2 linked regions of the Oreochromis niloticus genome follow. The protein of the gene in region 1 purifies or fractionates together with the protein of each later gene. This does not show direct contact. Links are inferred from orthologs where the notes say so. Each region holds a gene or a part of one and is shown on either strand. Other genes may lie near its edges.

Region 1 (7,891 bases):
TCAAATCGTTCACTTTCTACATTCACACTCTTTTTTTTTACTGTGAACCTTCGAACCTGCTCACTTGATATTGAATTGCTTGCTCATAATAAGATTGTAAGACAAGTAATCTAATTGTATGGATGTCACATACAGCTGTTGTCTGTCTGTACAATCCTAAGGCAAGATAGTACTATTAAATCAAGGGTTCTCCTGTCAGATTTCTTTTATACACAGTTTTTGGTAGTTAAATTAAATAAATAGAATAAATAAAATGTATACAAACCAGAATGTTTACACAGTAGTCTTTTTAAAATAAATTGACAAATGTCTAAAGCTGCATCGTACCACATGTGTAAATAAAATTTTTTGGACATTTCCTTATTAAATTAAACAAGCATAGCAGAGACAGCAAGGAAATGTGTCTTTAGTTGATTGTTTCTTTGTTGTAATGACACTTCCTGGCAATAAATCTTATACTATTGGAAAGACAGTTTATCTCCCTTTAAATGGTGCCAGAAAACTTCATTTGTGGGTCGAGCAGCAGACTTGAGCATCTGGGTTGTGGCCATGAAAAACTTGCCAAACAATATATCCTCCTATTGATTCCTGTTTGGTGTAGTTTCTTGGATCGGATTAAAGAAGTCTGAATGAATAAGACATACTGGAAATTTAACTCTTTATTCATTTAACAAACAGGGGTCTCAACGGCATGTTTAGGAACCCTAGACAGTCACAACAGCCTGGCATCTGGTCATGCTGGTCACCAGCTTGGTAACACACACTGCTGTGGGATGGCTTCCCATTCTTCAACCAGCATTTGTAATAAGTCAGCCAGTGTGGTTGTGTTGGTCACAGAAGATTCTCAGAGCTGATATACTAAACTTGCTGCTCTGAAGTCAAATACAAAAACATGGAAACACTGTTTAGATCACTGCACATCAACAGAGGTTTGCCGCTGACAGCACTCATGGTACAGGCATAACTGCAGTGTAACAGCCTATGATAAGACGGAGAGTGCTAGAATGTCCTGTGCTCTGAATAAACCCTGAACACTGTTGGCAGAAACTCCAAAGCATGGCGTAATGACACAATCAGCCTCATTGCCTTTAGGGCAATCAGTTCTCTCAGTGCAAGCAAAGGTAACAAGCAGTCTGCAGCCTTGTATATAATGTACACAGCGCTCAAACTAAAAAAGTCTAAATGATCATTTTTAAAAAGAAAATTTGACCCTCCAACCACCGTTAAATACTTACAGTCTTTATCTTGTCTACTTTATGTCTTGAGAGAATGTTTATTTTTTTTAAATTGCAGTTTCTGTTTTGCATTTCGCTGTCAAACCATGTTGTGACAGACACCAGCGCAATGGTGCAGACCAGTGTAGCAATCGTAAAAAGTTGAGTGGATTTACCAGTCTTCACATTTCCTCATTCACGAGGTTTATCATTGTTTCATTTTGGTATCTAAAAATAAACCAGCCGACTAGTCTTACATTGTTGTGATTGCCCCAAAAGCTGATAAACAAAGACGCAAAATTTGCTCTTCCTGGATGTTATGCTTTTCAGGCTTAAGGCATGCCTTTAAACACCTAAAGACAAAGGATGCTGAGGAATGCTTGGCTGCTGCAAGCAATGCATCATTTGAAAATATTTTATGTGTTTTATAAGAGCCGTCAGACATGCGGCTTTCTTCGGAAAGAAGCCAGTTTCCATAACCCACAGAGCGTCGTAGTGCATTTTACGACACTTTTGACCACATGCTTCACCTGTTGTCACCTATCATCAAAGTGGACGTGACAAATGGCTGTGTGACATATAAATGTGTCTTGTAATGACTGTTACTGGTAGAAAAAAAACACCATCACCATCACATCTCAGTTTCCAGGGAATATGATATGATAATGTCTATGATCATTTTTCTGAATAGAATACAAAGGAAAGAGGAACTTCAATTAAGGAAATAATACATCCTTCTACGCTGTCATATTGTAATATTAGTCACAGTGGTTTTGATGACTTTAACTGCCTTTGAGGTATTTAAAATTATTTCAAATGTTAACACATTCGTTAACATTCATTAATATACAAATTATTGACTCTGTCGACAAGACTGCTACAGACTGAGAGTTCACATTAGCTGAGTTAAGGATATAAGGGTTTCATATTTGCAGGGTACATTAGCTCATGCCCCAGCCTAAAGTTTAACAGCTAATCGAATCAAAAGAGTTTATGCACTGGAAAAATCAACCCATAGTTAAAAAAAATAATAATTTTAAAATAAATAAATCTTTAGAAATAAAATATCTGAATAGCTATCAAATTAGCCAGCGTATCCAGATCAGCTCTGGCACAAAGGTGAACTTGTCATTTTGAAGTCTAAGGCCACGTCTCTCTCAGTTGTGTAACACATAACACACAGTGTGCAAATGTAAAGAGCTGGACCTGTTGAAACTTTGCCTGTGTTAAGCCAGCTGTTGCCCCATGCTACGGTCCCCACAGCTTCCTCTCTCACTGCGCATCAAAAGGCTCTGTGTTTGACAAAAAGGCCCATTCGAAACTCCAAACAGGAGTCGAGAACCCCATGAGATAAAACACACACCATGAAAAACATCCTCCCGCTGCACTGAAAAGGAAACTGTTTCTGTAGACAAAGCTCTGATTATTCATCGCAGCTATATCCTACTACCCTTAAACTGCGCACACATGCGCTGATAAGACATGCTCAGTTTTCAGATAGACGTATGAATATTTACTGCCCTGTAAACGTGCTGCATGATTCTCTGTATCACGCAGGAGCAAGTAAACTGTGCTGAGTTTAAGTGTCTAGCTGCAGTGAGAAGAATTTCAGATTGTTTTTCTGTTTCTCTTCCTTGTTCCTTCTCATCACAGTCATCAGTCACCTACTGGAATCTTAGGATTATACAAGGTGGTGCAATCAGTGCTGTCCCCATATGCAAACAACACTTATTTATAAGCTATTAACAGTGATGAATTACATTGTATGAGAACGCTTTAGCGGAGAATGCATTGTTAAAGTGTAGTGTACAGACAGTAAACCTGTGGGTGTGTCTTTGTTTAGTTTACTGTAACTAAATGTATGAGGGCTGCGGCAAATACAAACTGTTTCCTTTGTTGATTGAATTAAACGCCTTAAAACCGATAGAAACCAGTGCCGGCTTCTATTGTAGGCTGCTGTAGTCATTTTACTTTAATGTCAGTGGTCACTGTAACCTGCTTCGGTGTTCCATCAGGAAGGATATCTGGTGTAAAACTCTGCCAAATTAAATAAGCAGGGAAGATGAAACCATTTTTAAAAAACATGCTCACTGTGTCCTCAAAACTACATATATAGCCATAACATATAAAGATTCTTATATTATTGCTGACATTACCCCAAAATAAGTTGTTTAAAATCTTCCCCCCCCCCTTTCCTGGATTTTCTTGTACTTCTACCACCATCTTTGCTTTTCATTGCTTCACATCTCTCATAGTTTCTCATGTTTTGAGTGCTGCACCTCTCTCTCTTACAGTAACCCTGCTGCAGCTTCACGAGATGCCTTACATTTGAACCATTTAAGCAACTTCTGGAAAGAAGTGTGGCTAGGTAAATCATTTTACTTACAATTTTTAAACAAGTGTCTCTAGAGTGTGCAGCAGATTGCACTGCCTTGCTTTTGTGAGTTTGCTTTAAAGAAAAGGAAAAAAAGAAACATGACATCATACTGTAAAAACAATGTGAAAATAACATAATTATAGCTGGTAATGCTGAATAACTATGTGGTGATATTTGTATTGCATTACTGGTATTTGTGGTATAAATGACTGGCCATGTGACAAACCTTATGGTTGAAAAAGGCCATGGGTGGGGATTTAGTTGAAGAATGAGTTTATGTACACATTGAATAAGTAAGCAGAGAAGAATAACTCTTAAATTAATTATCCTTCAGTTTTAGTTTATGTGTTGGATTTTTACTCCATCAATCCGTTCTAAATATTTGCATCCCTGTGCTTACTGTTATTTGAATGTTTAACTTCCCGGATTACTTCTGCTAAAATGACATCATGATCTGACCTGTTCTCAGGAATGTATCTCTAATCTTTGCTATGGTGACAGGTTTGCTGTACGTCAGTAGCTGTGATTCAGTAGAGTGGGGTTACTCACTGTTATTAGCTGGTTTTGACCATCAAATGTTAGGTGACACAGGCAATGAGTGGCTTACCACGTCTCAATGGCAATTCCCACAGACTCCAGGTCACATTTAAATTCATTAGTTATATCCATAGTCATTATTTCTGTTAAATACTTCCAAGATGATTTTTTCTAAATTTTATGTATGAGTGTTTTCAAAATCTTCACAATGAAAAAAGTGCACACTGAATGTGACAAGTGTTTTTCACAGGAGACATTCTGACGTGCCACAAAACCACAAATGTAGTTACCTAGTGTGTACCTGGGAAACCTGTAAAAGACAGTGCCATTGTCATAGTTATCAGGAACACCAACACCTTTCTTATTGGTCATAATGTGACCTGTTGTGGTTCGGCAGACTCAGTCAAAGGAGCCAAAATACTGTATTTGGGTCTAGTAGAGTGGCTCATGTTTAGCCTGATCAGTACTGAAGTAAAATACAGTTATTTTTCATCAGCCTTCACATATCTTATTCTTTACTGAAAATGTTCCGGGATTATATTTTAAGACTATATTTGCACAAGCAGGCGACAGCAAAACCCACGTCAAAGGCCTTCATGTACTTAGCTGCATAAAGCTGATTTACAACTCTGTCTAGTGTACCTCTGCTGACACCTGGTGGCAACTATGAGTTACTACACCTCAAAAAATCGGCCTGATATTGAATTTACCGGGTAACTTATCCTAACGGAACAGCATCACATGAACAATTTTGTAAAACCTGTGTGGATTTTATTTGGCTATATTTCATATCGTTTAAATACTTTGACGTTAATAGTAAAATGAGAGTTTCGACAGAAACTTTGCTAACGGGATGACTGCCCCTTTAAGAGCGGCGACCAGCTGCTCAGCGCCCAATCGCGGCGCGTAAACTGAACTTTGTTGTTGTCAGCAACTAAGCGCTAACTGTTAGCTAGCGTTAGCCGGCCACCGAGCTAAAGAGGTGATATCTCGCATCCCATTCGTCCTAATACCGGAGGAAAGCACGGTAAAATTTAGCTTGGACGGCTACGACCGTAAACAAGTCGCTTCCATCAGGATTTCGCCTCCGATATCAACAAAAATGACATCTGCGCTGGTGAGTTTAACCTGCTGCTTGAGCCACTGAGATGAAGTTCGTTTCTTATTTGTATTTTCCACAATGTGCCTTCTTGGTTACGAGTTAAAGGCTGATATATCTGTAGATTTATTGCAATACATTATATATATTTTTTATTTGGTATGGTCCCCTTTCTTTTTGCAGCTTGTTTTAGCTTTATTTAGAGCAAGAGCAGATTATAAATCGGGGTAATTTTACTCTTAGTCTTGATTAAATGTCTGTGAAGTCGTTGCAAAGTGACTCATTACTCAGTCTGCTGCGTGTTCAATGTAATATATACATTTATACTAATGTAACAACCAGCCTGTGTAGTCGTGACAGCCACATATGTTATGTAAATGATACACTGAAAGTTTAATGGTATCGTTTTACTCATTTGTCATGATCTAAGTTGCCTTTGCAGATTAAATGTATCATTTTGCAGTCAAAGTGACTAACAAGCAATTAATATGCCAACAATCTGATATTCTGTGTACGGTAATTACAGTATATTGAAGTTATGAGAAAAGACAAAACGATAGAGTCATTTATGCCACTACACTCACTGTCCACTATATTAGGTGCACCTCGCAAGTGCTGGGTTGAGCGGCCTTTTTGCCTTGAGAGCTGCCTTAATTCTTTGTGTGAAGCTGGAAAAATTCCTCTGAGGTTTTGGTCCATATTGACATGATCGCTTCAGGCAGTTGCTGCAGACTTTTCGGCTGCACATCCATGATGAGAATCTCGTGCTCCACCACATCCCAAAGGTGCTCTGTTGGATTAAGATCTGAGTAAGTGAACATGGTGCATAAAACCCCTGAAAGCAGCCTTCAGAAGATGGGTACACTGTGGCCATGCTGAATGTGATCAGCAACAACCTCAAGTAGGCTGAGGTGTTTAAATGATGCTCAATTGTTAATAAGGGGCCCAAAGCGTGGCATGAAAATATCCCACACAACTTTTAACTTGTAACAGTGTTACATGTTGTGTAGCCTATGTGCTTCAAGGCTCAACAAGTTGTGCATTCAGAGATGCTTGTAACCAGTGACAAACAAACAAGAAAACAAGCTTATTTTAAGTTTGCATAAACTAAACCTCATTTTGAAGAAAGGATGGTCAAAGCCTCTCTTTGATGAACTCCAAGAGTAACTCATAAGACACTATGACAATAGATATTCTGTGCAATACAGTCATGCACCATACACCACAGTATCTGGTAACTGAAGGAAAAAAAATATACTCTTTAAAAGTCTCTCCAGTTCTTTCCTTGTGAGGTTGTTGTTGTTAATATGAAGTAAGATAACTCATTTTATAATTTTCTTAAAAAGTAGTGACTGGTGCCAGACTAGCAGGGAACTCCTACATCTTTTGATAAACAATATTTGCTGCCAGTGAATGGCTCACACTTGGAACCAAAATGATACATTTCAGTATAGTATTTGCCCCTACTCCTAATCTGTAGCAGGCTATTAATGACTTAATCCAAGTAACAATCCTGTTAGTCGTACAACTTAAAATCCAAAATAAAAAGTAAATGTGGCTTTACATAATATAATATAACAATGCATTTAAGAAAGCAGCATTAAATGAGGCGTGGTTGCACGGAATATCGCTAATAAGAGCCAGTTTTATATTATTTTTATATTAAAAATACAAATCAGCAAGAAACCAACTTCAGTAAGAGAATATTTTCTTTATTTACATATAGTTTGTAAAAAATAGTGTAGTTAAGAAAAAAAAAATAGTACAGAATTCTACTAAAAGCAAGTGACTCAAATATGATCTATAAAAGTTTCTATTTTCTGTCTTTCTGCCATTTCAAAATCTCAACACTCGACACCATATTTGTCAAAGTGTCTCGTGATGATGCCCAGCTCCAGCTCCACAGTCCCCATGGCTTCGGTGTGCAGTCTGTATCTGTCCGCCCCGCTGTAGATCAGGTCAGGGCTGAGGAGCTGGGGACCTCCGCCGACGAACATTTGCGCCAGCCGTTCTTGCCAGGAGCCCACAGGCCTCCAGGTCGCACAGCTTATTCGGTGATGTCCCGGACTAGAAGGGACGTGGCAGAAACCATAACCATAGAGTTGGCACCGTCCGAAAGAATCCTGATGCCACACCTCTAGGTGAATCTTCGGCCAGCCTTGCAGCCCTTTGGTCGCGTAGTGCAGATCGATCGGGTGGCTCCAGTACGCTATGTCTCCGATTTGGGGGCTATCCACCTGGGTCTGACCCTCCTTCAGCCCGGATAAAAGCCGCCATGCTTCTCCCGTATGAATTCCCCATTTGCAAAACAAAGTCTTTTCCGGGAAACCACTTGCACCAATGATCTGCCCTATAATGTGCAGCTCTGCCATGTCACACTGGTTCTCTTTAACCAGAAAATGTGGCACGGAAAGTCCTGTTTTGTCTCTCCGATGTTAACGGCTAGCTTAGCGGCTAGCTAAACTAACGGCTAAACGTCTCCTTGGTAACCGCCTACCGTGATTTGCTATATAGCCATATACCCCCTGAGTTCGGCCTCGCAGGCACCACTTCCGGTACGAATCCCGTCCAACATTATGAAGACCCAAAGCTTCACCTTTATAAAGTTGTTTGTCATTAATGAATAATTAATTTTCACTAATTATAATATTGGCAATATTATTC
Region 2 (7,802 bases), on another chromosome or scaffold:
TACCTTTGAGTTCTCGGGACAGACTTTCTTGGTGTTAATTTCAGGATCTGTAGTGACGATCTTGCTCCACCACTCCATTTTGTTAATCTGAAATCAAAATACGATTTGACACACTCTCTCTCTCTCCAGTTGACTGAATAATTCCACAGTGTGCCACACATCTACACGTCTTCTTACCTTTTCCAAGTGGACAGTAACCACCTTGCCATCATCGATGAGCCAGGAGCTCTCCTCTACCTTCACCTCGTTGTAGAGTTGGCCATCAATAACTGGAGGATGTCCTTTCAGGCCCACTTTGATGGAGCGCCGCTGGATGTCCACAACTACATCTTTGCCCTTAATGCGAAAGTTCACACTAAAGGGCACTGCCACCTGTGGGAGGAGTTTAATCATTAATATTTTAATTACACATGTGCACTAAATCGCAAGTAGAGGCGCACATGTGTTCTTATAAGCTTATAAAACTCTCGTCTGCACAGAAAAAAAAGAAAAGAAATTCCACTGCTCTCGGTGATCTCGGTAGATCTGATAATGTGATTCCAACAGACTGCATGCCACTGATTGTGTGGTACCACTGACTAGCCAATCACTTACGACAGTGTCGCCTTACGAAAATTAAAACTGCCCTTGAAACCTGGCAACGAGGAATATGGCCACACAAGAAACAACACTGTGGTCTCTGAGTCATGCACCGAGCAGGAGGTATAAGATTAGGTCGACACCCTCCATTTTTGCGCTTGTGTCGCGTACAAATGATGTCACGGAACTTTCTTGCATGTTGCTATAACAACCCCAAACACATTAGGTGGTACTCAAATGTAATGGCAGATGTTAAAAGACATTTAAGACAACTTCCAGCACCTTTTATTTATCCAGTATTCTGTATGCATTCTGACTCTTTCCACAACAGTCTTGGCATATCTGAATAAAACTGGAAGGAATAATAATGTAGAATTCACATAAAAAGAGCAGTGTCATTTTTCCCTTCTGCAGAGTCCAATGGAAAACAAATACAAATGTGTTCTGGCACATGCTGTTTAAGGAAACACATCACTTGAAAGAAAGAGGCACAGGGCAATGCACAGGAAACATTAAGATGGTTTTAATATTGTGCTATCCATCTGGCAAACTCAGGCAAAGGTGACATTACTGAGCTGTAATAACAACATTATGATGGAGCTGTACGTATGGTGAGAAGCTGAGGGGTAAGAGATGCTCAAAGAACCATTCAGATGTTCAGTAAACACAAGCTGAGAAGAGGTAAAGTCCAGCATGATGCTGAAACCAGAAAAAACTCACATCAACTTCAGACAGGGTCTGTGTCCACTTGTAGTTGGGCAGGTCAGCTCCATTTCCCGAATTAGGCTTCAGTTTATCTTTGTCTTTCTCATCCTCCTCTCCTTCAGAGTCCGACTGAAGGAAAAGAAAATGAACATGAATAAGCGTTAATTAAAAAAAAAAACATTAAGTGCACTTCATTTTACTGCTTAGTCAACACTAAGTAATAAGGTACATGTCAAACTCCTCACTCACGCCTTTCTCTTTCTCAGCTTTGTCAGATGACATCTCTGCTGCCGCCGCTGTATTCTCCTCTTCCTTCTTTTTCTAGCATAAAAAAAGCCAGACATAAAGTTAAGTAACAGACATAACAGTTCAGAGTTTAATTTAACCATTTCAGAGACACACTGGTGACAGAAAATGAGAAAATCCGTATTTCACCTTATCAAGTTCAGTCTGAAGCTTCTCTGCTTCCTCGTCTGTCAGCTCCTGGATTCTTGGACCGTCGTCATTCTTCTTTTTCTTCTCCTCCTCTGCAAGCTTGGCCGCTCTTTCAGCTTTTTCTCTTTTTTCTTTCTCTTGTTTCATCTGCTTCTCTTTCTGGGCCTTCAGCGCCAACTTGCTGTGGTGAGCAAAGGCATCCTTGACGAGCTGAAGAACATAGGGGATTTCAATTAAAACTGAGGGATGGGTGGAGTTCTGTGTTTATCACTGAAATCTTGAATGTGACACGAGGTATAAATGGAACAGCAATGCTCACCTTCTCTGCTGCACCTGAATCACCACCAGTGAAGAAATCAGTTTTGCGGCGGAGGAAGCTGAAAAATGTGTTTACTAACTGTTGATAGAAAATAGGTCAAGAATAAGTTACAAAATCCATATAACAGATTACAGCTTTATTATGGACTTATGACTGTGTTGACGAGACTGGACTGAAATAAATTACTGCTTGGATTGGAGAGCCTTCCTTTTCTGTGCTGGGTGTCTCTGTGATCACCACTCGTAAAAAACATCATTGTAACCAAACATTCATTTCGCTTCATCAGTTTCCAGATCACATCTTTCACCTTTTCCTCATAACAGCAGGTCTCTTTTTAGCAAATATATTTTCTTCCAGAACCTTCACCCGTCCAGGGCACAGCGTCACATTACTACAGTACAAAACTTACTTGTAGAACTAACATTACTTTTAACAGTTTCTATCAGGAACATGGACCATCTAATAGACATGCTCAAACAGAACTAAGTTCATTTTTTGCTAAGTTGTGCTGCCTTCTTAGTCACATGTATGCCAAATTCACCAGAACACTCCGCAGCTTGCAGCTAAGCTAGTCCACGAAAGCCATGGTTATTAATAACAAAATCATTTTCTAAACTTTGCAAAACAGTTAAAAACATTCATTTTTTTGTGCGTGTTTGTGACTGCTCATAGGCACGGTGTACATACTAGCTTACAGGCTAACCACGTTAGCGTTAGTACAGTAGCTTTAGCATGTTAGCACGGCGATGCACTGCTTTACCTCTTGTACCCCTCCTTCGTGTTGCTGCGCCATAACAAGCAACATGCCGTCATATTTTTCTTCATCTTCACCCATGCTGACTGACTGAGAAACGGAATCGGAACACCGGCGCAAAAATCAAGCAAAGCAGGTTCTGTTAGAAAGAAAGCAAAGCTGTTCTGTGAGAGTCACGCTGAACACTTCCTGGAAACAACCCCCTTCTTGCTCTAGTTTCGACCAATTGGAGCAACACACTATTATTGATAGCTAAGGCACCCAATAAATGGAAGGCGCTGTTTTAGGGCGGGACTCGGGCTTATTTGAAGAGTAAGAATATTCTAGAGAAGAGAACGGATCTATGATTGAAACTTTAAATTTATTCAGTTGAATGCTAATCGTTTAACATATTGGAATAAAATAATAATAAAATCTAGCCTGCTGCCATGTTATCGCGGATAGGTAGAAATAATAGGTGCAATTTGCTGGAAAATGGAGGTTTAAGCAGCTACTTGTTCTTCTTTTTTTTAAACACAATCACAGACATAAACAAGTATAAAATATGCCATAAAAAGTAAGATGAAAATATAAAAAGTCAAATTTCCAACCTTAGTTAAACTCCACCTTATCCAGGGGCATTTCCAGGCGAGCTGAAAAAAATAATCTCTCTAGTGCGTCTTGGGTCTACCTGGGGCCTGCTCCTGGTAGGATATGCATGCCTGTAACACCTCGGAGGCACTCTAGGCACATTGGAGTAGCAGCTCTACTGTGAAACCTGCTTGAATAACCAAACTCCTTATCCTATCTCTAAGGAAGAGGTCAGACAACTTTTTGAGAAAGCTTACTGGTGTCACTTGTATCTGCGATCTCATTGTTTCAGTCACTACCCAAAGCTTGTAATCTTAGGTAAGAGTAGGGATGTAGATCCCCTGTTAATCAACAGCTTTGCCTTTACACTTAGCTCTCGCTTCATCACAACAGACAGTTTACATCACTGCACCTGCACTACCCATCTTACTCATGAACAAGATCCTGATATACTTAAATTCCTCCACTTGGGGCAGAATCTTTTCCCTGACCTGGAGTGGGCACTCCACCCTTTTCCAGCTGAGGACAATGGCCTCAAACTGTTGTCCATCCTGAATCCGAGGTTCGACTAGTAGATGAACTCTCCTTTCCAGTAGCCTGGCATAGTTCTTCTCACTGAGGCTGAGGAGTATGATCCTCATGTAGTTGGAGCACACCCTCTGGTCCTTCTTCCTAAAGATAGGAATCACCACCCTAGTCTGCCAGTTCAGACGCACCACCCCAGATCTCCACACAACATTCCAGAGGCGTGTCAACCAAGACAGCCCTACAACAGCCAAGGTTTTAAAGAACTCATCCACCCCACAGACCCTGCTACCAAGGAGCTGTTGAACTACCTCAGTGAACTTGCCCCCAGTGATGGATCAATCATCCCACTCGACTTTACTTCCTCTACAGAAAATGTGTAAATGGGATTAAGGAGGTCCTTAAAGTATTTCTTCCACTGCTTGCCTATATCAGTTGAAGTCAGCACCACTCCACTTGCATTATTCACATGTGAGCAGAGCACTAATTTCCCCTCCTGAATCACCAGATGGTTTGTCAGAATCACTTCTCTACAGACTGAAAGTCTTTTTCCATGGCCTCACTCAACTCCTTCCACACGACGTCAACGTGTTAGCGCGGTTAGCTCACTAACGTGTTGACGCCATGCAGCCCCACGCATGGGCCGATCCGCGTTAACTCACAAACGGAGATTTGCCACATTAATGCGGTTATGGCGTTAACATCATTTTAACGAGATTAACGCTGACAGCACTAGTGTAGACACAACAGTGGTTCCCAATAGTGGTTCATCTCTTAAATGCTTTTTTCTATGCTTAAATGATTCATAGGTTAGCCTTAAGTAACTTAACAAAAACAAAACAAACAAACAACAAAACAAAAAAACCCACTGAATGAAACAATGAAAAACTAGAACTATTGCTCAAGACCACTTTAAAAGTTTACAGCAAAGGCTGGCATAGCAAAAACAGCATCAGCAGTGCTAAGATAGGACAATATAATATAATATAATATAATATAATATAAGACTGTGTTGTCTCAAAGGCTCATGTGATTATTGGTTGAATAATTTTATTAATTTCCCTCTTGTATATTCAGTAGCTTTTCAATACATATAGGAGAACATAGCACATAGCAGACAGTGCATACTGTAATTTTGTCTTGTTTCAGTGTTTTCCATAGGTTTTCTTTTTTCTGTAGGTAAGCACCATACAGCACACCTCATCTTCAAAGTATAGTAGGTAACTAAAATGCGGTGCATAGACTACATAACGGTGTCTCGGCAGCGATAATTTCGCCTTAATGGAGACATAAGTCCAGACATACTTGACAGCTAATGAGGTTGATCCCCAGTTGTTTGCTTCATATTGCTAGGTGACTGTGGTCTCAAGAGCAATCCATTATTTGACGACAACAGAGGGGGAAATGTGATAGAGCTGGAAAGGATGGGGAGTACGACCACAACACATTAGATGCGAAACATAGCAGAGTGCTCATTCCCGTTAATCATAGCTTTTAGCATAGTCAGATGTCAAATTCAACGTTAAATGTTAAATGCACAAACATATCCTATTAGACACTATTTGTTTTGTTTTCTGTCTTTTCAGTACCTGAGCAATTACCTGTGTACTCACCTTCCCCTAGCTGTGCTTACATCATTCCTTTCGTAAGTTAGCTGTTTTCCTGTCAATTTCTTGTATGAAATTTCATTATTTTTAGTTTGTCTCTACTTTGATTTTCTTGTGTCTGATATCTGTCGGATCTGTTTTATGTCGCTCCCTTTTGGATTTGTTTGATATGATTAGTGAACATCTGTGCATGAGCTTAGGGCTTAAAGATACAGTGTGTAAAATACCACTGCTAGATATCAGTAGGTTGCAGATTGCAGTGAACTGAATTATAACTTCTTATCCTTCGCAATTTAAGTGCAAGAGAGCAGTGGTGGAGAGGGAGAAAGACCTAAAGAGAAAGAGATGATGAAAATATCTCTTTGTTAAAGGGTAATACAGAGTTTTAAAGGGTTATTTGTGATCTTTAAATGAAAAGTAACTTATGGCATAGTACTTATGTGGCCGGTGTCTAGTTACATAAAACGCAATTAAATGGAAATGCAAAGTCCATCTCCTCCACTGTTTTTAAGATGGCTGTGAACAATTTGTTTGAAGACATAATTATACACTAATCATTGTATATTTGTGAGTACAACATTTTTTTAATAAGCTAACCTTGTAAGCAATACAAAAATGTTACATTTATTAAGAGAGATGCTTTTTGTCCACAAAGACTTAATGTAGTGTTCATACAAGTGTCAGGAAAATCACAACCCCCCCCCAATGGCTGCTTATGTCAATATTATACTTAAATAAATAAACAACAAATCTGAAAACACATGATCTTATTCTTAGCTAGGATTATGCAGGAACTCCAGCAGAGAAAGAAAGAGAGAAAAGACTGTCAAAAATAATGCACGCTCTGACTCCCTCATGTGGCCATCATACTCTATGTGACAAACAAAACATCCTGTTTTTGTTCCACTTCATAATCTTTATTGGTTTATTAAAAAAGACACATCTGATATCAGAAATTAGTTCCTGATACAACATATTTCTGCTGAAAAACAAAAAAACAAAACAAAGAGAAACACCCAAACATTCGATCTGCTACAGCTATAATGTGTCATTAGCAACAAAATGCAAAAGGCTTCACCAGACAATTCAACCCTTTCAGTAAAGTAAGAAGTATAGTTCGATAGATATAGTCAGCAATTCATTACTTCTTCTAAATTTTGGCCTTCATGGTCCAAACCAGAACAAGTTTCCCGTCATTCCATTCTAACCATGCTGGGGTTGGGCTCTACAAAAACCTCAAGTATTCTGGTAGATTTTACAGAAAGACTACAAAAAATTGTTATTCTTTACACATGCAAGTAAAACAGATCGTGGGTGACACATTGTGTGGAATACGTGAACTAGTTTACCATTTGTATTAAATTACTACAGTTATGTTCCTTAACAACTGTAACCATAAACTGATAATGCTAAAGGGAAAAAAAAAAAAATGGACTCAGTGACTCAGCTGGGAAAATCCCCGTCAGGACCCGGGGGTAAATACAGCCATTACATTTGTTGTCATGAAAACACACCTTCACTTCATGAGTCAGCTTGGGATAAACATCGCTAATAAGTTACGGCACACGATACAACCTAAAGTGTAGCTGCAGATCACGCTGGCTCATATAATATTTGATAATTGAAAGCAAACGGTAAAACAGTCACAATCAAAATGTATCCAACACACAGTTAAGATATGAGCTTCTGAGTTATCAGCTTGGTATAAACTTCATGTTTTGAAACAAATAATAAACTGATCTGAAAAAAACAAAACAAAAAACACATTCCATGTTGTCTGAATATTAACTAATGATATGAAATATTAAAAAAAAGACAGGTGAAGGCTTTTTTTTTTTGCAGCCTTCAACTTGTATTTCCAATTGGACTTAACGAAACACAATACAGTTACAATGAAAACTCTACTTTTCCTCTACACAGAAAGTATGCAGTGACACCATCCAGGTGCTTCCCTTAGCCAATCTGAAATTATTCAAATTCTGGAAACTATCAGAACATTATGTAGACTCATTAACTATATATTTGCGACATAACCACAAAACTGAAAGCAAAAATATACTCATCAAATCAAATCAATGATAATGAAGGCATGTGAAATGTGCAAAACAACAGAAACACCAACGACAAACTTTAAATCTAAGAGTAAAATGAGAGCGAGCTCTTAGGATCCTAACTCCTTCAAGGACGAGGGGACGGTTATACAACATGTATGATACAACACCTAAGAGCTGCTGATGACGTCTGCCTGCAGGGCAAGCTCCCCATTAAGCAATCCTTCAAACACAAACATAACATTTATGAATCAGAA

Evidence for each region. The genes of interacting proteins can lie anywhere in the genome.
Region 2: the proteins of poc1a (region 1) and nudc purify together in Homo sapiens (co-immunoprecipitation; 3 studies listed by BioGRID and IntAct, with this or other methods). This does not show direct contact. The link is inferred for Oreochromis niloticus from reciprocal best matches to the Homo sapiens genes POC1A and NUDC.

The regions. Positions count from the first base shown.
Region 1 is NC_031970.2:19,650,640-19,658,530, reverse strand, and holds the start of poc1a (POC1 centriolar protein homolog A), read left to right. Parts: upstream 1-4,886; 5' UTR 4,887-5,230; coding exon 5,231-5,245; intron 5,246-5,841; exon of another isoform or gene 5,842-6,017; intron 6,018-6,918; exon of another isoform or gene 6,919-7,071; coding exon of another isoform or gene 7,072-7,599; exon of another isoform or gene 7,600-7,813; intron 7,814-7,891. Other genes in the region: b9d2 (B9 domain-containing protein 2), read right to left, coding at 7,072-7,599.
Region 2 is NC_031985.2:32,990,210-32,998,011, forward strand, and holds the start of nudc (nuclear migration protein nudC), read right to left. Parts: upstream 3,017-7,802; 5' UTR 2,874-3,016; coding exon 2,799-2,873; intron 2,117-2,798; coding exon 2,039-2,116; intron 1,930-2,038; coding exon 1,720-1,929; intron 1,606-1,719; coding exon 1,534-1,605; intron 1,414-1,533; coding exon 1,300-1,413; intron 373-1,299; coding exon 178-372; exon of another isoform or gene 130-177; intron 88-129; coding exon 4-87; intron 1-3. UniProt on the Homo sapiens protein: Plays a role in neurogenesis and neuronal migration. Necessary for correct formation of mitotic spindles and chromosome separation during mitosis. Necessary for cytokinesis and cell proliferation.